4 linked regions of the Arabidopsis thaliana genome follow. The protein of the gene in region 3 interacts with the protein of the main gene of each other region in a pairwise test. Each region holds a gene or a part of one and is shown on either strand. Other genes may lie near its edges.

The links.
Region 1: the proteins of NTL9 (region 3) and DWF5 interact in a two-hybrid assay, tested with the Arabidopsis thaliana proteins (one large-scale study listed by BioGRID).
Region 2: the proteins of NTL9 (region 3) and AT5G07960 interact in a two-hybrid assay, tested with the Arabidopsis thaliana proteins (one large-scale study listed by BioGRID).
Region 4: the proteins of NTL9 (region 3) and ANTR2 interact in a two-hybrid assay, tested with the Arabidopsis thaliana proteins (one large-scale study listed by BioGRID).

What each region holds. Positions count from the first base shown.
Region 1 is NC_003070.9:18,681,199-18,687,169, forward strand, and holds DWF5 (Ergosterol biosynthesis ERG4/ERG24 family), read right to left. Parts: upstream 4,455-5,971; 5' UTR 4,358-4,454; coding exon 4,272-4,357; intron 3,980-4,271; coding exon 3,757-3,979; intron 3,689-3,756; coding exon 3,633-3,688; intron 3,525-3,632; coding exon 3,422-3,524; intron 3,317-3,421; coding exon 3,251-3,316; intron 2,853-3,250; coding exon 2,739-2,852; intron 2,609-2,738; coding exon 2,482-2,608; intron 2,253-2,481; coding exon 2,152-2,252; intron 1,766-2,151; coding exon 1,640-1,765; intron 1,531-1,639; coding exon 1,466-1,530; intron 1,390-1,465; coding exon 1,308-1,389; intron 1,219-1,307; coding exon 1,136-1,218; intron 1,044-1,135; coding exon 977-1,043; 3' UTR 734-976; downstream 1-733. Other genes in the region: AT1G50440 (RING/FYVE/PHD zinc finger superfamily protein), read left to right, coding at 4,901-5,114, 5,190-5,275, 5,378-5,524, 5,926-5,971. UniProt on the Arabidopsis thaliana protein: Production of cholesterol by reduction of C7-C8 double bond of 7-dehydrocholesterol (7-DHC). Lesions in the gene coding for the enzyme cause dwarfism.
Region 2 is NC_003076.8:2,540,280-2,544,244, reverse strand, and holds AT5G07960 (asterix-like protein), read right to left. Parts: upstream 2,000-3,965; 5' UTR 1,896-1,999; coding exon 1,737-1,895; intron 1,335-1,736; coding exon 1,234-1,334; intron 1,056-1,233; coding exon 992-1,055; 3' UTR 599-991; downstream 1-598. Other genes in the region: AT5G07970 (dentin sialophosphoprotein-like protein), read left to right, coding at 1-119; AT5G07950 (uncharacterized protein), read left to right, coding at 2,198-2,442, 2,537-2,621, 2,708-2,749, 2,841-3,006, 3,100-3,152, 3,232-3,453, 3,534-3,580, 3,664-3,715.
Region 3 is NC_003075.7:16,887,905-16,892,825, forward strand, and holds NTL9 (NAC transcription factor-like 9), read right to left. Parts: upstream 2,898-4,921; 5' UTR 2,841-2,897; coding exon 2,675-2,840; intron 2,557-2,674; coding exon 2,048-2,556; intron 1,972-2,047; coding exon 1,624-1,971; intron 1,472-1,623; coding exon 1,196-1,471; intron 1,102-1,195; coding exon 982-1,101; intron 816-981; coding exon 630-815; 3' UTR 501-629; downstream 1-500. Other genes in the region: HMGB5 (high mobility group B5), read right to left, coding at 65-151, 234-280. UniProt on the Arabidopsis thaliana protein: Transcriptional activator activated by proteolytic cleavage through regulated intramembrane proteolysis (RIP). Calmodulin-regulated transcriptional repressor. Binds several synthetic promoters with randomly selected binding sites.
Region 4 is NC_003075.7:162,194-167,922, forward strand, and holds ANTR2 (Major facilitator superfamily protein), read right to left. Parts: upstream 4,165-5,729; 5' UTR 3,919-4,164; coding exon 3,864-3,918; intron 3,702-3,863; coding exon 3,642-3,701; intron 3,562-3,641; coding exon 3,230-3,561; intron 3,148-3,229; coding exon 3,040-3,147; intron 2,937-3,039; coding exon 2,781-2,936; intron 2,690-2,780; coding exon 2,474-2,689; intron 2,380-2,473; coding exon 2,170-2,379; intron 2,072-2,169; coding exon 1,934-2,071; intron 1,747-1,933; coding exon 1,645-1,746; exon of another isoform or gene 1,396-1,644; coding exon 1,330-1,395; intron 1,248-1,329; coding exon 1,163-1,247; intron 1,058-1,162; coding exon 960-1,057; 3' UTR 704-959; downstream 1-703. Other genes in the region: CYP86A2 (cytochrome P450, family 86, subfamily A, polypeptide 2), read left to right, coding at 1-585. UniProt on the Arabidopsis thaliana protein: Inorganic phosphate and probable anion transporter. Ascorbate transporter bridging the chloroplast envelope. Transports ascorbate from the cytosol into the chloroplast.

The sequences.
Region 1 (5,971 bases), on a different chromosome or scaffold from region 3:
AACTAAAAAGACCATTGACCAGAGAGATTCTACAGAAAAAGAATGATGCTATTTTACTACTATTGTACCTCAACTTTTTTTTCATCTTATCAATAGTAAAATAGTACTATAAAGTGAGAAAAATATGCATCCATAACAACACAGTAAAATTGTTTTAGTATGAAATTTGTTTAGCTTTGACTACAAATTAGAGAATGGTAAGTTTTTGTTATTAAAAACTTTGTAGTTAGATCTCATGATATCCAAACATAGAATCACAATTTTGCTGAAGGAGCTTGGTACGAAGACCGCCTCAGAAGTAAATGATGGTTCTGTTTTAGCAACTTTGGATGCTGCTACTCGGGTTGAGCTTCTGAGCTCCCCTTCTTATGTCTTTTTGTTTGAGCATTTGTCCTCGTAGCTTTTTGTGTATACTCTCCACGTGGAGGCAACTCTCGTTTAAAGTTGAATGAAATGTTAGTTTGACCAAAGAAAATAAAAAATAAAGAATCACAATTTTGTGAAAACTGTGTAATAGTAGTTTTGTGGATCCTCCAGAACACCAATTAAGTCTAAAAGTGAAGTCAACTTGATAATGTCGGTGAGTTCTTTGTGATTGAAAAACTGAAAGAACACTATCAATTCTTTGTGATTATTCATGTATTTTATAGGGTTCAAGTTCAATTAGTGCCTGTACTTATAAAAGACTTCATTTGATGTAGTTAAAATATTAGATGGATGAATCAACTTATTTGATGCATTAAGAAGCAGTATAATCAAAATATCAAATAATAAAATTAGAAAACGGCAGGCTAACTTTGATAATCTAGGGAAATACATAAGTGTAGCTAGAGATTTGAAAACCTATAGCATACAAATCAGCAAAAGAATGTCTATCGCATCAATTTGCATTTTTGTTTTGGCACGGTCTTTTGATGATTCCAACGTTCGAATTAACGTAATAAGTAGAAAATGAGAACAACAGACTTCGTTACAATCAATAAATTCCCGGAATGATCCTGTATTTGACTTTCTCACAATACAGCTTCCAATATTTCCCATACCTTTTTACCAAAACAAAACCCGAATATTGTCAGCAAATCAGAGTAAGATCAAAGAGGATGTGTAAAATAAATCATTTAGATTTGGTGCTTACTTTGATCGGCATCGGTCATCGTCTCTCTTGGCTCGATCAAAGAGAAGAAGGGTGAGAAATATGACGTAGAAGTATGCCAAGAACTGGTTTAAACAAAGATGATTTATATGTTAAGTGCGTTTAACTTGCAAGAAGAGCTTCGAATATAGCAAATAGATGGATAGTATTTTACGTTATCGAAGAGAGCCGGTACGGTCCAGAAGAAAGCACTTAAGATCTCAGGAACATAATGGAAATGACGAGCCAATCCCCACCTGCACATTCAAAGCCATTGATGATGAACAACGTCTACTTTTATGGTTGTAACTGTATAATGTAGAATAGTCTCACCATCCAGACGTTAAGAGAAGACTAGTTTTAGTTTCACCAGATGTTGTAGTATACGACGCCACAATCTGCAACAAACCGAGAGACCAAGAGAGATTCATACACATCAAAATGTTTAGGTCTGAAAAGGAATATAGCTAAGTTCACTAAGCTAGTTGGGGCTTATTATGATCACACCTTTGACGGGGCCCTTCCCCAAACCAAACATTTCCCGTTTGTCCTCCTGAACTCTTGCCTTTGTCTATCACAGTCATAGTTTATGTAAATGCACAGAATTCCTGCAACGAGAATGTATATTGCCAACTGCAACCAAAGACGGATATAGTGAAGTCTTAGGTACGGAGATAGGCATATATGTCCCGATGATCGTAGCATCAGTGGTGTTTTCATGAACAGCTTTCTTCTACTACTAGAAAAACTGATATCTGGCAACTACAATCATGAGCATAATATGCAACGAGCATTTGATCAACAATCTACACTTTACTCTCTCCCGTCTGTTTTGTAATGGAAGATACCAAGTAATTCAATAACAAGAGTTAAGTGCAATTCCTAGAAATTGGGATTTTCACATTTAGCTCAACCTTACTTGTTTTTTTTCGTATAAAAAAGTGGTATCCTAAAAGTTTCTCATTGGATTAACACACAAAGACGATTTCTCTCTTCTAGACAAATTCAAAATTATGCACCTGAGTTCCGAGTTCGACGGGGTGGTTCACAAGGTACATGCCTGGAGAAGTGTAGACAGAAGGCACCCACACTAGACAACCCCAGCATATATAGAATCCAGCTGAAGAATCATAAATTATAAAGCATTGAAAAGTAAGCTTAAGTTCATGTGTTAAAGCCAGTAACAATAATCTGAATAATATGCTGCTGCCTTAGCCATATAAACAGAACTGGCAAGGAAATTATAGCCAAACAGTAGAGAAACTTTTGTTATTACTACTGGCTTTCTTTCCTTGTACCCTATATGAGGATGTGATGATATAAATTTTATATATGTACCAGAAGCATACCTCGGTCATGTGCAATGTCCATGGTGTTCCAATAACCAGCTTCCCACCAGAAGAATTTTGTGACATACACCAGCATCAGGATGGTGTTCACCAGCATTGAATCAGATACTTTGCCATTTATTTCATACTGGTTAAAGAAAGTACAGGAATCACAAATCAGAAAGAGGTGAAGCTCTCTAATGAAATAAGGACTTAAAGAAACCACCAGACTATGTCGTCAGAGTGTAGTATTTACATAAGAATTATCCAGAAAATACCTGTTTTATGCAGTACGTGACTGCAAGAACTGCCCAAGACATCATTCCGAATCTGCAATTAGTAAACACCTTGATGTCAAAGCTCTTACCAATTCGAGGGTACAACTCCATGCCCTGCAAAGCACGACGCGAAAAACACAGTGAGAAAAAGATTGCCACAAATTGGATTGTGTTAATGATAAGTTGGAGCAAAAGAGTACATGGTGAGAGAAGATCTCAACTTGATATTGTTATAATAACTACTGGATACTTTGTTCTTTTCCTTCACCGACAGACATTCACACCAAACTAGTTCTCTTGTACTTAAATCAATAAAAAGATAAATACTGCTAAGAACATTTCCGTTTACAGGTCTACTAAAATTGGAAACTTTAGTGAAACTTGACCTCCAAATGTCGAGAAAAGAGGCAAAAATATTATGAGGAGATGGCTAGTAAGACCAGAGTTCCTCAAATAAATCCCAACAAGCAATTTCAAAAAGAATGAGAATCTGATCAGCAGAAATAACTCACCCAATAGAAGTCAATTATTAGGTTACCACATGAACCAGAGTCACTTGATGAAGGTGCAACATGGCCCTGTACAAGAAAAAAAAATAAGTTTTAGCAACACAAAAGGTCAAATTCTACAAAAATAGAGACTAAGAAAACAAAGAACACACCATTCATGCAATAGACACTTACTTTTATGTACAACAAAACACAAAATATGAAGCTTCCGAATATTAGTGCCGAAAATATTTCACCCAAGTGATCATAGACAATTGCAGGGTTGAAGATTCCAAACCTGAATAACGCACAGAAATGAACTCACATAGGTGCAACACTTAATCCAAGCTTAAGATACGTAAACAATAACTTAAACCAAACCAAAGTCATCGGAAACATTTCTTACCACCAAAGACCAAGATAGGTTGCTAGTGTCACAAAGTAAGCAGCCAGACCATTGGCCTGCAAGAAAAGAACCGTACAGTTGTCATCTGCATCAACTTCCACCACACAAGACTAAATGAACATACCTTGTAAACTGGTCGGTTTCCGGCTGGAGATATTGGACCCTCAACTCTTTTACCAGGCAGAAGCAGCTGAAGAATAGCTTCAAATGCTCCATAGCAAAATATAATTTTCCAAGCAATCAAAGTGGGTCTTGGCCATATGTTGATAAGTCCTTGAACTCCATTCTCCCAAAAGAAGCCAAAGGTCTGAGTAACAGAACCATCCTGATGAACCATTGTGTACCATCTGCATCATAAAGAAATGAAACTTGTGAGCATTACTTAAAACTCACTAAATATGATTTTGTAGCTTTAAATCTACCCTTGTTTCCTAAAAATCTGGAAACTCACATTGGCCAGAGAAAGAATCATTGAATCGCTTTTTCAATTAAAGACTCTTATCAAGTCCTACTTAATGGGAAAGGATTTAAAGATATCGGCTATGCACTTCTCGCTATGAATTAAGGAGCCAGAAAAGTGTGCGAGTCTGATCTGAGAACTAGAATAAAGACTTGCGAATCAGAAATTGATGAGCTTACAGGAGAATGACGAAAGGTGGACAGAAGGCGAGAAGCGATAACATCGATGCGTAAGTAACGATCGGAGAATGTACAGTCTCCGCCATTTTCTTCTTCTGCTTCTCTCGTCTCGGCCAAAGCCTCAGATTCTGATCTGTGTTGACTAATCAACAGAGTCTGCGAAGTTAACGATGAAGACGATGAACTTCACAGGTCTACTGTGAAACTCAGATAAATCCCACGTGTCACGTGCTCTCCACATGTTTTTTCTAATTCCAATTTTACCCTTGAGACTTTTCTTCGCCATCGTTTTTGATTGATCCCAATCTTCTTAGCTTCTTCTCTCTCAACCCTCAAAAGATCTTCGTCATCTCTGTATTCAACACATAGTGATGAATCGAGACTAACAAAATCAAATTCTCTTCACTCTGATTCGCAGTCATAGTTTACCAATTTCTTCTAACTCGCAAGCAATGGCTTGCCTTGGAAGAAAATTCTCCAGAATTGGTTGAATTCGTGTAAGTATCGATTTTTTCTAATGTTTTTGGTAACTCCCGGCGAAACCTAGATCTAGTTTTCTGATGCTGTGTTGAATTCTTTTGCGTTTCTCAGTTTTTTTTCATTTCCAGAAATTTTAGTATGTTTAAGAGATGCAATTAGTGCCTAGTGATGATGATGATGATAGAAAGGAACAGATTTTATTCGACGAATCAACATCCTCAAACGAAATCGTAGCAGCGGAAAGAGGAGATCGTGTTGTGGAGGAAGGACAAGTTTCAGAAATAGCTGAGACTGATGATGACGAAACCACACTTCTTGTTTCTGGAGATCAACCACAATGTCGAATTTGCCTTGATGTTGGAGGTATAATAAAAGCAATTCCTTAACTCAATTGAGTGAGGATACAATGAGACGACTTGGTTTGTTCTTTGATTGCAGGGGAAGATCTGATTGCTCCGTGCAATTGTAAAGGTACTCAAAAGCACGTTCACAGATCTTGTCTCGATAATTGGCGCTCCACCAAGGTATATTATCGTCACCGTTTCCAGAAAGTTTCTTCTTCTTTTGAATGAATGGTTTACTTAGCTTATGAAGTGTATTTTGTTTCTATGCAATATATGTTTCAGGAAGGTTTTGCATTTTCGCATTGTACAGAGTGTAGAGCCTTTTTCAAACTCCGAGCCAATGTGCCTGCTGATAGATGGTGGTTGAGATTGAGATTTCAGCTGCTGGTTGCTAGAGATCATGCCTTCATCTTCATTTCTGTCCAGATGGTACATGACTTGTTTCCTTTTTTTGATTTTAGTGTTTAATACACTTTCTTCTTCTATGATGTTACTAGCTTCTTGACTCCCAATCTCCCATTTTATGACCAAATTCGTTGTTTCCTAGCTATAAAATTGGTCATATAGCTAAGGATTTGCATTCTCATGATTGAGTTTAGTGTTTATAGACTTTCTTCTATAATGTTACTATATACTAGAATTCAATCATGAGAATGCAAATCCTTAGCTATAATTGCCACATAGCAGTTTATGACCAAACTATTGGTTTCTTATCGCATTTGAACACCGAAACAGGAGATCCCTTGTATGAATTCGGATTGGATGATACATTTGATGCTCTTAGTGAATGCATTTATATACTAATGAACAAAGGCTTCTCGTATCAACAGATTGTAGCATTCTTGGGGTTACTAGTTTACAAGTTCTACGGTGAAG
Region 2 (3,965 bases), on a different chromosome or scaffold from region 3:
AATCGTCCTCATCTATGGACCGGTCCGTGAGTTCACTTAGGTTAAACCCACAGAGATATGTTACCGTAGCTCCAGTGCCTCGGCATATTCCAGATAGGGTACAATGTCTCTCTTTCTAACTATTGATAGATCCATATAATTAACTTTTTGGCCAATCCTCCCGAAAATGTTTGTGTTTATGGGTGGGTAAGAGTTAGTTGGTCGGACTTCTGAGAACAGTGAAGGCCTCCATCGTCAGAAGGCCGGAGATTTCGTAGTAGACATGTAGCATTACTGTATGCTTAATCACGAATATTGGATGTCAAATCCATTTGTATACTTAGTAAAGAATTTGCCCCATAACAGAAATTCCACAAGGTAACAACTCCAGTGAATCTAATTTTGTTTTTACTCAGCGAAGATTCTGAAGAACTCTCTCTATCAAGTCGTTGAGTGCTGTTTAGAATCAGTCATTGAAACTTAACTTCCTTTGCTTCAGAGTATTACAAGGTCTCTAATTTAATGAGTGTCAATATTTTACCTCCGGAAGCCAAGTCGACATCATTATTCCATATGTATTATTCCGCAAAGAAGATTTAAATATTTGATAAGGAAGTTAAAAACATAAGCCAACATGAAATCTCTTGTTCTTGATTAGTTTCATATAAAAGATTGAAACAAGAAACTAGAGACATTCGAACTAGTGACAATGATTGAGGAGTTTGTTTGGTTTGAGGAGTGTTTTTGATGTTAGTCCGCGTAACAGTGTTGTAAGAAGCAGGGTCCAAAAATCAGGGAGATCAAAAGAGAAAAAGTCGGATTTCACATTTTTTGCATCTGGACTGAAAAGTCTTTGAACTCCACAAATGAGCAAGAGCTCAAGGTTCTAGTTTGCTACTCAAGGATTAGAGAGTCGAAAACACAAAGACAAACCACTAGCAATCTCTGGTGCGGAAACAAGAGCCATACAAGGTTTATCAAAAAAAAGCATACTACTCTTAAGACATGAGGATTATTTCTTTGTCGCGGGTCTGTTAGGCCCTAAGTAGTTTGTAACCAATCCCATTATAGCAAACCTGTTTTTAATACAAGAAAACCAGATTCAGAGTCAACAATTTATTGAGTAGAAACAATCAGCTTAAATCTGATCCATGTTGGATTTTAACAGGAATAGAGAGGTTCATTTCACTATTCAATGCTTTTGGCACTCTTAACTTAAAAATAAGAAGAAAGAATGAGTGAAAAGGAACATACATCATAGCCATGGAGATCTGCTTTAAATCATTTTCCAAGTTCCTCATGTTGGCCAGAGATTGTGCACAGAATATAATTGCAAGCCACGAGCATATCTTGTACTGAGAGATACACAAGCCACATAAATAAAGAGGATGAATTTCTCACTCCACATATGATGATCTTTTAATCCACTTTCACACTGACTATCTCAATCTCTCGAGCTCAAATTTCAACAAGATCTAACATTTTCTCTAGTCTTATAATATGATGCAATCACACAGTCATGAATCTGCCTATTTGGGGAAGTAAGCTTTAAATCAATTCAACATTCAAAATCACTAGCGAGTATTGGAAAGATCCAGTCTCAAAACATCACGAACTAGCTAGAGATTGATGTTGCTAAATCGGTGAGTTCAACTTATAAAATCCGACGATCTAAGTCACCAACCGGAGTACTAGTTTCTACGACTGAATTGATTTCTAACAGAGCAACGATCAGAAGAGGAGAAATGAAAATTTACCCTGAACATAACGCCGGAGACGCCGAGGATAACGGCGATGAATCCGGAGTAGTCAACGGGAAGATCCTCCGGCGCTACAGGCCGTGGAATGTAAGGCTTTGCCGCCGAAGGCTGCCGTGGATCGTTCACCGACGAAGCGTTCCCGTGACTGTGAGACATCCTCAATCTCTCTCTTTGGATCTCTCTGAAGCTCCGATTGGTAAATATATATCTGATCTACTGTAATTCTTCTTAGAGATTCTATTGATCTATTATATAGACATAATTGCTAATTACAATTAAAATTAATTTAAACAAGTTCAGAAGTTTATGAAAATTACAATTGTAACCTTTTCGTATTTCTTCATAAAGCCCTAAGCTGGGTGGAAATAGAAAACAAACTATCGCCGGCCGTTCAATTCCCGGCGACGTAACAGAGTTTAGGAGTGTGACTCAAGCTCAAAAAACTCGTTTTGTATTCGATGAGCATCTCGCAGTTTCCGCCGCCTGCTTCTCCATCTCCGGCGTCTTCTTCGCGATCGCTGGCTTCTTCATCTCCATCTCCGGGGAGTTTTTCGTCATCGATGAGGCTATGGAGACCAGCTGCTCAGCGGAATCTTAGGAACCAGTGGTCTAACCTGTCGAATTGTCGGCAACAGTGGATCGTCGCTTGTTCTGCGGGAAGATCTCACGCTACTTTGCTAGTCAATTCGTATCTGTCACAAAAGTGTGGAATTTTCTTAATTTGTATTTGCAACTTACTCTGTTTCACTTTGATGTCCCTGGTGATTCTTACTGCTTTTGTGTTTCCATGGCAATAGGTATATGCCAATGATGGAGCTTGGTGTGTTGAGTGACATGTTTGATATCGACAAGAAAGCTTTGAAGAAGCTGTTTACGCAACAGGTGAAAATTTGCATTTCAAATCTATTTTTTGTCTTCTATTCATTCTCTCTGTTTTTAATTCTCATATTAAGTCTTATTATGTTCAGAGTTCCTATCGAATCAAGCTTTTATCTTCGTACAAGGAAATGGTAAGTGTGACAATGCTAAAATCTTGTGAATTTGAGAAATTTTATTCTGGTGTAATTTGGAATCTATAAACAAAACTGTAGAAAAATGCAGGTAGCTGTTGTTGTTGAGATGGTAAATGCAAGCAGATCTCTGAGATGTTACACGAAGCTGAGTACCGGGTCACTTATACAGTTCTCTGGCACTAAGGAAGATTCAAATGATGCTGGAGATTGCGGTGGCATTCCTGTGTTTAATTTTTGGAATGTCTCTGCATTTGGTAAGAGACCCATAAAACCAATGTTCAATAGTTATTAACTACTTACCATGTTGTCTCTAAAGTTTGGTACTTGCCATGTTGAAATGATCCCAGAGAAGATGGCTGAGGAGCTTGTGGAGATGTTCAAACGCGAAGTAATGCTAAAGGTATTGTCTACTCCTAACTCCTGCATGTATCTTAAACTCTAGATCAGCTTCTGATCTTTTTTTTCGGGGAAATTAACAGAGATTGCTCATAATGGAACTGATCTCTTTAAGCACTGAAGTTCCTCAACCCATCAACAACAGTTGGTCAGATGAGCTTTACCATGGAGAATTTGATCATCTCACCAAATGTTCTTTATATTCTATGGAAGTAGCTAAGCCAGTTCTCCCCAGAGTGAAAGATTATAATATCGGTAGTTCTTCTATATCACATACCAACCAGCCAACCGCAGAAATTTTGCAGGTATGTGGATTTTGATTCCGCACAAGTAAAATTGTCTGTTAGCATTATATCGTAAAACTTCAATTCTTCTCGTTCCACAGATTTACTTGACAACTTGGCTTGCAGAAGTAAACATCGACACTCATAGGTAAAATATTTTCACCATCGTCATTCCCGAATTCTGGGAACAAAGTGTATTCTGATTAACCTGGTGTTGCGTATTTGTTACAGGGTGGATGAGATATTAGCTTTGGTTGGGGAAGAAATTAGAGTCACCTTCTAAATCTCGAAAGGTGTTCACAAGTTCAGCTTCTGGTTAAGTTTCAGTGACTTTTATACAAAGCACAACTGATTCTACAAAAGTACTCAAGGACTTGAGAGAGAGAGAGGTGGTTAGAACCGTAGCTGTGTAAACAAAAATTGCCACTTACTGCTATATTTTAGCTTGTTTACTGGATTTCTTACTGGGGCACTGTACTGAGCGATATTTCTTTACTAAAGTATACAAATGGATTTAACTTACAATGTTTCTG
Region 3 (4,921 bases):
ATTAATTACTGTAATCAAATTAGTGAAGAAAAAAGAAGAAGAGAGATTAGTGATTTTTATTTACAGGAAGACGAAGAAAGGACTTGGTGGTTTCTTAGGCCTGTTTGGATCCTTTGTTTTCTTTCCAACTTTGTTCCCTCTAACTTTCAATCTGAGAATCATAAAAGACGATTTCAAAACTACGGAAACAAATTGAATCTAAGAATCGAGATTACGGATAAATATAAAGATACCTATCATCAGTGCTCCTCGATTCAACTTCCGTTTGGTTATCTTTCATCTCGAGATCTGTCACAGAGAGGAACAAAAGTGAGAATCCGGTGGGGAAAAATAGCTGACTCGGAGTTGACTCAGATGAGGCGGCGAGTAGGAGCGAGCTTACCTCTGTGTGAACACGTTTAGGTTATTTCTTTTTTTGAATTGGGGAGAGACGACGATTGAGATAATTCTTTGATGCGGTGTTAATTTAAGATGTTGGTATTTTTAATCTTGACCGTAGATAATTAAGATGTTGGTACATTTAATCTTGACCATCCGTGTAAATTCAACAGTAACTTTTATCAGATTCCTAAATAAGTTTTTAAGTTACAACACACAAACATGCTAACATTGCATCATCCCTAATTACATTAAACTACATTTGATTCTCTCTCTCTCTCTCTTTGTGTCTCATGTGTCATGAACTCACCAGTGTCCTCCATATACCCATCCCTACCCCAACCATCACAGCCACCATTACCGTTGCAACCACCTTCCATCGCTTCCCTCCTCGTCTCTTTCTGCTCTGCACCTGTACCTGTAACCACAACAAACTTCTCTTTAGACAAAGATACTTCTCAGTTTCTTTTATCATTACTAGCTGATCTCACATGCTCTACTGATTGCTTTCTCTTTTTTTTCTTTCTAATTCTATAGTATTTAGTAGAGCTTACTACTATACTCTTTCTTCATTCATGTGTAAACAAGTTCACTCATTCTTACCTCGTCGTCTGCAAATCTCTCTCCTTTTACTTGGCCTATAGTTCCCCGCGCCCTGAGCTTTATTTGAGGTTTAACCAAAGAACCACTCTTCTCTGAGTATTTAGCTGCAGCTTCTTTGGCCTGCACATCCCCACCATTAACAACAAATTAAAAAGATGCATCCTTTATGTTATTGATGTCTAAGACACAACTTTTGGAATCACTAGTCTCGTACCTCGGGAATAACAGTGTGTCCTTCATTCACCTCCTCTCGTTCTTTTACTTCAGAGTTAGACTGCAGCTGCAGACGGATTCTCCTTGGAGCAATACCCTGGTTTATCAATCCTGTACTCTGCCGGTTCTGAGGCTGTCGAGCCCGGATCTTTATCCCTCTCCCTTCTGTGAGGTTGTTCTCTGTGTTATGATTGATCATTTGCTCTTGCTGAACCAAATCACTATAGTATGAATTAGTGTCACTTGGCCAACCAGAAGCTCCACCTTCTGAACCATACTGATCAAACAAAAGATAAAAATTGTCATTTTACTTATGTCAAGAGTGATTGTAAAGATAACTGATCTAGAGGTTTCTAGCCTACTTAAAGCAAAATAATTTGGATACTTCTAAAATTGTATAGGCCTCAAAATATGTATCTTTGTGCTCACCTGCAATTGCGCCATCTCAGCATCTGTATCAGTGAAAGCCATGAAGTCGTTGAAGAAAGCATCCTCTGGTGCTGCAGACTGCAGCATTTTAGCAGATGAAAATATCCCATTTGGTGAGACTGCTGGATTCTCTCGACTGATCGATTCCTCGCAAGAGAAGTCATCAGGGTTATTGAACACCTCCTCCAACAATTCTGTTAGTGATACATCTGGTTCGCTGGTACCATCTTGAAATTGGAATCCAATCTCATCGTAACTGAAATCACCAGCATATATAGAATCCATACACGGTAGTGGTGCCTTTTGATCTTCAAGGTCACAAGATAACCAAAGATTCTCTTCAGGTGCCTATGAACACAAAACTCAAAATTAGTCAAGTCACTCAAAAAAGCCTAATTAATTATTCAAGAGTTTCCATTCATACCTCAATCATTGTCCCATCTGCGGTACTATTACTATGAGCATAACCGCATCCACCTGAATAATCTGATGGTTTCTCAACAGCAGCATCAGAGGAAGGTGTTTCTTGAACAAGATCAGATGATGTATCATCAGGTGAGTATTTGTTGCTGGCCGTAAAAGCTGCTTCATCGGACTTGACACCATTAACCCGATCATCAGGCTTGTGGAAGAGGCGACAAAGAACGTAAGGGCTTTGGCCAGGGGAAGTGCCATCAAGATCCTTAAGAGTGGGACGATACTCGTGCATAATCCAATTAGTCCGCTCACCTTTAGGAGCTCGTCCACGATAGAAGACAAGAGTCTTCTTCATACCGATTAAAGTCTTCTTAGACTTGATGCTACGATCTTTACCAGTAGCTTTCCAATAGCCAGAGTCAGTTGCTCTGTTAGAGCGATGACCATTAGGGTATTTCCGATCACGAGGGCAGAAAAAGAACCACTCTGGATCATCCGTCTTAATCACCGAGAGAGCTGCCGACAATCAGATTTGTTTCCAATTGAGTAAAGAAAAAAAAGGTGGAATCTTTGAGAGGGAAAACAGAATCTGAGAATAAAAGGAATCAAATTTTGAGAGAATAAAGAGACGAACCAGGAAGATCCCAAGGTTCCCATTTGCAGACATCGATATCAGGGATGACACGGACATCGGAGTGACGTCCGTTGATCTTGAGACGGAGGTAGTGATTGACGAGCTCTTCATCGGTAGGTCTGAATCTGAAACCTAAAGGAAGCGACTCCATCGATACAGCACCCATAATCCTCTTCTTTAGGGTTTCTTTCCGACTTTGAATACACTCTCTGCTTTTTTTTCTGCTTTCTAAAAAGTCTTCAACACTTTGCTTTCTCTCATCTTCTTTTTTTTTTCCCTCTTTTTTTTTAACCTTTCTTTAGACCACGTGAGAAAGATAACTTCCACTTTAAACACTTGTCCTCTTCTGTCTTATTGTCTTGTCTTGTCTTTTCTTGATAGGCTTCCATTATTGTGGCTAGGGCCCAAAAAGGCCTTAAAGCCCAAAGCTTCGTGGTTTTTCTTCTCTTGTGGTTTAGGCTTTACAGTGATCAGAGAAACCCAAAACACGTTGGAAACGTCTAAGCAGAGAAAAACAGAGCTTCCAACAAATTCAGCATTGTAATTCTTCTAGACGTTTTATACAAATTTTACATATACACTATGGAACTCTCCTTGCATTTCTACCAAATCTGAATTGAAAAAGGGATTTGTAAGATATGAAAATGCGATAACGTTGCCTAGATTAATCAGTTTTCGACATTTTTTTTTTCCTGTTCCGATTCCATGTAACTTTTTGAGGGCCACAACTTTTCTTAATTAAAAAAATAAGAAAAATAAAAGCTCAAGTGACAATCAGTTTTTGAAAATGATACTAACTAAGCTCTTAACATTTTTACGCATGTATATAAACATTAATCTTTTATTTGGTCTTAAATACAAAGCATATATATGATGCTATCAATCTAAATGGTCTATTTGTACATAATTAAATAAAACATAAAATTAAAGCCTGCGCATACAACATGTCTACAACCAAAAACTTCTTTCGTTTATATCAAAATCAACATCCCAATACTTCATCTTCTCTTCTCTTCTATTTGGCACTTATAGACGCGAAAGGTTTGAACCGGCGGGAAAGTAAGACACCATAATCGGAGCTCTCGGGGATTTGCTTTTTGGTTTCTTTGAGGACAGGACTTTCAAGTCACTCTCATCAGTTGAGCTAATCTTTGAGTCTGATTTTGGAACAAAGCAATCAAAGACGGAGGCAAAGAGAGAACACATGATCATAGGAGTTTGAAAAACGTGTTTGGAGTCTATATACGATGAATGATATGATTAAGATTTGATCTCAGGTAATTACGTGAACGATATGTATTTATAAGACAACCCATCTTTATAAATTCTTGGACACGTTTCTAGGAAATGACCACTAAATCTTGCTGGCCAAGCTTTGCCCTATTCTTAATTGTTTTCTCTTTTGACAACACTTGGGCACCTTTTTTGACTCTTTGGGCCTAATTGGACCAACTATTGATACCAAACATACGTTAACATCACCTCCATATCACTCACCCAATCAAGTTTTCCAAAATGTTATGATTAAAATTAGGGTCTTCATGTCACTATCCAACAAAAGTTTTCCAAAATTCAACATTAAAATTAGGGGAAATATGTACGAAATAGAACTTATATATCCATGTTAAGAAGAAAAAAAACTATATATCCAAGCAATACAAAATATTTAGGTTCTACACTCCATTTTATACAAAATATTAATTGTTTTCGATTAGAGTTTTATTAGAAAGTTCTCACTCAGATAAAATCAAAACTAGTACTCTGTATTTTTATATAGAGAAAAATCCTTGTAAGTTAATGTTACTAATACTACCCAAGTACCCAGAGTATTTTGACACATTCTATTGACTTTTGATTGAAACATGTCCGGCTTAATTTAACGCAATTATTCAGTTTAGATTTTGAACACCTTAAATGAATTGGCTTTTAACAGATCATAATATCAATACCAGTTTTAGTCCTTGAGAACTCAGCCCATGACTTAAAATATGAAAACTTCAGCCCATGACTTAATAAATGAACAAAGAGAACCCAAAAACAGAAAATGAATCATGGACATATTTACATATATCATAATCTGACCAAATTGGAAATTATGCTCAAATGCTTAATATTCCTCTGATTCATTTACCAAATTCAACCTCTGTAGAATCATTCTAAACAAAATTCAATTACCACTTTTCAGACATGCGTCGCGCGTGTGAGTGTTTAGCTACATGGGCTTGGTTCGGTGCAACCCGCTTCCCA
Region 4 (5,729 bases), about 17 Mb from region 3:
GATGAGGTCGACCGGTTGGTTTACCTGAAGGCCGCGCTCTCTGAGACGTTGAGGCTTTACCCGTCGGTGCCGGAAGATTCAAAGCACGTCGTGAACGACGATATCTTACCGGACGGAACTTTCGTACCGGCGGGATCGTCGGTGACTTATTCGATCTACGCGGCGGGGAGGATGAAGAGCACGTGGGGAGAGGATTGCTTGGAATTCAAACCGGAGAGGTGGATCTCGCCGGACGATGGAAAATTCGTGAATCACGATCAGTACCGATTCGTGGCGTTTAACGCCGGACCTAGGATCTGTCTAGGAAAAGATCTAGCGTATCTGCAGATGAAGACGATCGCGGCGGCGGTTTTACTCAGGCATAGACTAACGGTGGCGCCGGGACACAAGGTGGAGCAGAAGATGTCGTTGACTTTGTTCATGAAGAACGGACTTTTGGTCAACGTGCACAAGAGGGATTTGGAAGTGATGATGAAGAGTCTCGTACCCAAAGAGAGAAACGACGTCGTTGTTCTTAACGGAAAATGCAACGGCGGTATCGGTGAAGGCGTCGCCGTTAATGCGGCTGTGGCGGTTGCCGTGTAATGCAGCTTCTCGGGTTGATAACATTTTTATAGTAATTAATACATACATTTACCTTTGGGTTTTGTGATTGTTGTGTAAAACAGTAAAAAAAATGATTTCGTTGTGCTATGTAAACTTTGTAAGCAAATACTCTTCTTCCTAAAGTAAAAAAGTTTGATTGTTTTTGTTTTGGTTTCTTTTTCTCCATCCCCATCAAATTGTAAGCTTCAAAAGAGTCAAGTTCCAAAAAAATACATCTTTTCTTTAACATGTTACTTTATGAAACAGACCAGCGAACCATTTTGATCTCACTATCAGATCAAATTTATAAGCAGAGAAAGAACAAATATAAAGCTTCCTCACACAATTTCACTGCAGCTATTAGTTTCTTGGTTCTAGTCGAGAATTTTTTCTCCGGTTGCGAACAAGTTCCAGACCAGAGTTCCAATTAGATACAGTGCAACTGCTACTTTGAACACATCATCCCATGAACCTAAATGTTTAGGTAAAAACCAAACAACATGGTTAATAATAGTCGGAAGTACTATAATTTGTCCACCTTATGGTTGGCAAGAATGTGAATAAAGATAGAAGATACCTCGTTGGAGGATGTAACCAGTAGCTGCAGTGCCAAAGACACCAGCTAGGACTCCTGCTGTGTTTGATAGTCCTAAGAGTACACCCTGCGAGCCAAGCCATAGTTAATGAAGTGGAACAAGTTTGGTGACAAAGTAATAAAAGAGAAAGAATTGATGTTTATCTCACAGCGTATCGTGGGCCAATGTCTTGATGATTAGAGTAGAGACCCGACTGAGAGAATGCATCAGAGCCCTGTTGGGGACAACATGAGTCTTTATGTCAGAGCTGTACACAACTCATGAATTTTTCTAAGGGTGACAACTGTTTCTTTTTGTAGCCGACATTGCATTTAAGTTGGGGTTCAATTATAGTTGTACTCTCACAAGAATAATCTTGTGTCGGCAGGTGTGAAATAAAAAACGGCAAACATGTTTTTAACAGTTCCAAACTTATCCATAATTCTATGGCTCTTTCAATCATATGATCTATTGACACCAATACCTGACTGCATGCCATGCAGAGAACTGCCATTGCTGGAGTTTTGACATGGCTCAGCTGACTCAGGAAGAAGGCAGGGCCTAGAAAACCAATTGATTGCATAATCTGCAATAATCAAGAGTTTATTAGTCGTGAGTATCCTTTGGAGTAGCCATAATAGATTCATGAGAGTAGTTTATTGGTATAAAGGGTTTGTTGTCACTCCTTTAACTGAAAGCAGCATAACAAGTTTGGCCTTTTGAGGTAGTAGAGACATGTAAATGATCAGAAAGTGAAAGAGTGTATTTCTTGCCTTTCGAACGTTTGTAATTGAAAGACCTCTGCTCACAAGAGTATCAGCAATCCAACCTCCAATATTAGCAAAAACAGCCATGGTTAGCCATGGCAAAACGCATAGTAGCCCGGATTCAGTGAGGTTGAACTTCAAGACCTGCAGCGTGATCAAAGACCAACAATAGAGAGGAGTCTCTTTACTTGTTCACAAAAAATATTAAACAGTAAGGATATAACTGAAGCTGAACTCCGTGCCTGATTGTAATATGTGGGCATCCATGTCAATAGTATGAAAGTTCCCCAATTATGGCAGAAGTGGGAAATTATGAGAGCCCAGACTGGGGGTTTAGACAGTATTAGCTTCCATGGAATCACTGTAACAGGTTCCCTTGGTTTGCTACCTCCCAGTATAACCTTTTTTTCTTCTTCACTTAGGTCCGGGTCATCCTTGGGAGAGCTATATGCCTGAGAAGAATTAAAAAGGTGTTTAAAATATAAATCTCTTGGAGGTTTTGTAGATCTCAGATATTTAGCTTATGTCATGAAGAGGAGTTCATACAAATTTTAGCCATAGCAAAAACCATATACTTCCGAGGGAGCCAAACGAGTAGAAAACAGATGGCCATCCGAACTTGGTGATTAGCATAGGAGAGAATGCCAATCCTGTGACGGAACCAAGATACATGCCACTATAGACCAGTGCAAGCGATCTGCTTCTCTCTGAGACAGGGATCCATTTAGAAAGCATGTTGTTCATAGCAGGCATTGCAACACCCTGAAGCAAAGGTAGACAGAACCAGCTAGTGAGAAGTTGTACAGGTCTGAGACAAGTATAGCAAGAGAAAAGAAGAACAGAAGAGGCCAACCTCGCCAATGCCCATGAACGCCCGCACTACAAGCAAAAAAGGAAGACCAAGTCTAGCAGCAATAGGTGTCATAATAGTGGCAAAGGACCACCAGACAACACCAAAACCTAAAACAACCTTCCCGCCAAACTTATCTGCCCATATACCTCCCAGAATCTATGTCCAAGAGAAGATGAGCTAAAGTTAGAATAAATATACCCTCTCTTTCGAGTTCTATAAAAGATCAGATTCTACAGAGAGTGATAGTATTAGACCTGACCTGAGTAAGTAAATAGCCCCAGAAGAAAGAGGACTGAATTAAGCCAACAGTTGCACTACTCCAGTTATATTCTTGTGACATGGGAAGAATTGCAATGCTCATGTTCACCTGCCACAAGCATCTCTCATTAAGTAATATATATCTTACTTCTTCAGATAAGTAGAGAAAATAAGCAAGATATACAACTTACACGGTCCATATTGCAAAGAAGAAAAGACGAAAAGCATAACAAGACGATCACCCAGCGTCTAGGAAACTGCTGCCACCATGGAGATGCGTTCTGTAGATTTCCTTCAACTAAAATAGCTTCAGCTGAGCCATCAGCCGATGGCACAACTCCTTCCGTGATATCTGACTCCTCTGATTTGTAGTAAGCACGAGATCTGTTGATCTTGATACTGTTCCTAAACCTAATTACACTGTCCATTCTTGGTTGAAGGAAACATCCAAAACTTCTTCTCATGTGTCCCGATTCATGATGTAAACTAGCTTGCAGAGGTTGATGATTACGGCACAACAATGCTACAAAGATTAAGAAAATGCTTAAGCACAAATTGCATAATATAGCTAGGTAGAGAGGTATAAAAGATACCGATATATACCATTTGGAAAAAGCTTGGAAACCTCTGCACCACTTTTTCCAAGTCTCTGACAACCATTGCCTACAAAGTAAAGCAATCTTAGCAAATTTGGAAGCAATGCACACATTAGTGATATCGTTCGCTACACAGAAGCAAGCTACGCTCAAGCCTAATCACTAACATAATCCGATAAACAACTAAAAAGCCCTAACAGATTCAAAAAGAGGAGGGGGATAGATATACCTGAGCCGATGAAGGAACCGAAGTTCCGATTTGAAATCAAGCCACCGAGGGCCATGTTGCTTCTCAGAACAAAAATGTCAAGGGAAGAAGGAGAAGAAGAAGAGAGAAGGATTCAAGCTTCTTCCATAGAAGCGGAGTAAACGAAGGAACCTTTGGATAAAGCCGAGAGAGAGACTGAGAGACGCTGAAGCGGGAAAATCCCTCTCTATTGGGGAAGGAAGGAAGAGGAAAGGGGGGTCGATATAGTGACACGTGGCACATCATCTTCTACTCGTTGGAACCTCCGTTCTGTTCTCATTTCATGAATCTACCCCCACGTTGCAAAGAGGAAACATGGGTACTATTGGTTAATGGCAGGGGTATTATTGGAAGTTATTGTGGAAAATATCTGAGCCGTTACCGCCGAAGATGACGTCACCTTTAGAGAAATAGAGAGAGCTGACAAAAGAAAAAGGTAGGTTGGTTAATATATTGGGCTTACAATCTCATTTGTATTTTTGATGGGCTTAAAAATAAAATTGTCTTCTACATTTTTTTGTTTCCATTTGTTCAAAGTTCCAACTGCTGAAAAGTGAAAACAAAGAGACATTTATTGCTAAAGTGCAGCCCATAAAATAACTAAAATACTAAAATTAAGCACTAAAATTGTACAACAATGTCATTAGTTTTTACTAAAATCTTGAGGATTTGTCATTTTGAACACTTAAAACTGTATGTATATATAAAATGTTTTTGCAAAATATGTACTTTAAACCAAATACTAAATTTTAAAAACAAATCTAACCGACTATATCCACGTATTAACTGGTATCTATTATTAACTAAAAATGGCAAATTCACAAACTATATGGAAAATTGCAAAATCAACAAATGTCACTTTCAAAAGTGGCTTTCTCATAATTGATTCTTTTTATAAAAAAAAAAAATGAGACATATATTAATATATATAACAACTTTGGTGACTATAAGCTCTTAGAGTAAAACAAAGTCACTATATTAAATTTTGAGAAGAAAAATAATCCTGGAAACCTTAATGTTTTATGATACAATTTTACACATAGATATATAATTACATACTTTGACCAGACACATATTTTTTAAAAAAAAATCTCCAGTCAGTGGCTATTTGATAAAGCCACTAAAAATTCTTGACCAATTTTGTGGCCACTATATTGCTTATAGTATAAATCATTCACAATTTGGATCATAGGTTTTATTCATCAATTTTGTCCAAAAAAAAACTTAAAATTTTGTCAAAAAACTATAGTATAAAATAGGTTTTGTCAAAAAAACTTAAAATTATGCTATTTGTGAAAATTTCTCTTTTATCTATTTTTAAATTACTTTGTTAATTAATAGTGCTATATTCTTAATTCTTGTATAAAAATGTGTTATTCTTGCAAATCACCCTCTAATTTTTCTGATATATTTTCCAAAATAAAATAACTCTTCATCTTCCTCACTCACTCTCTCTCTACTCCACTCTTCATCAAGCGTTGAGTCATCGCCGTGTTGTTCCTTTTCCTTCCCTCTCTAGCGTAAGCTCCAGATTTCTTCTATTCTCTGTTTTCACAGTGAAATCTCTCGTTTAATGAATTTTTTCGATTCCCCTATGCATTTCGTGATTTAACGCCTTTACTCACTTGTTACTTAAAAATATATTTTTGATTTCGCTAGGTTCCTTATCATGCATGCGTCACTCTCTTAGCTCAATTTTGTAAATGCTGTATCACTTTCGTCTCTTTTGCTTTATCCAGTGTCAATTTTGTTTTGTTTGTTAAGTTGTTGCCTAGGGTTTCTCTTGCTCGTGGGATTGCCTAGAAATTGAGTCTCTTTTGGGCCTTATTTTGTTCTTCTTCTCTGTTT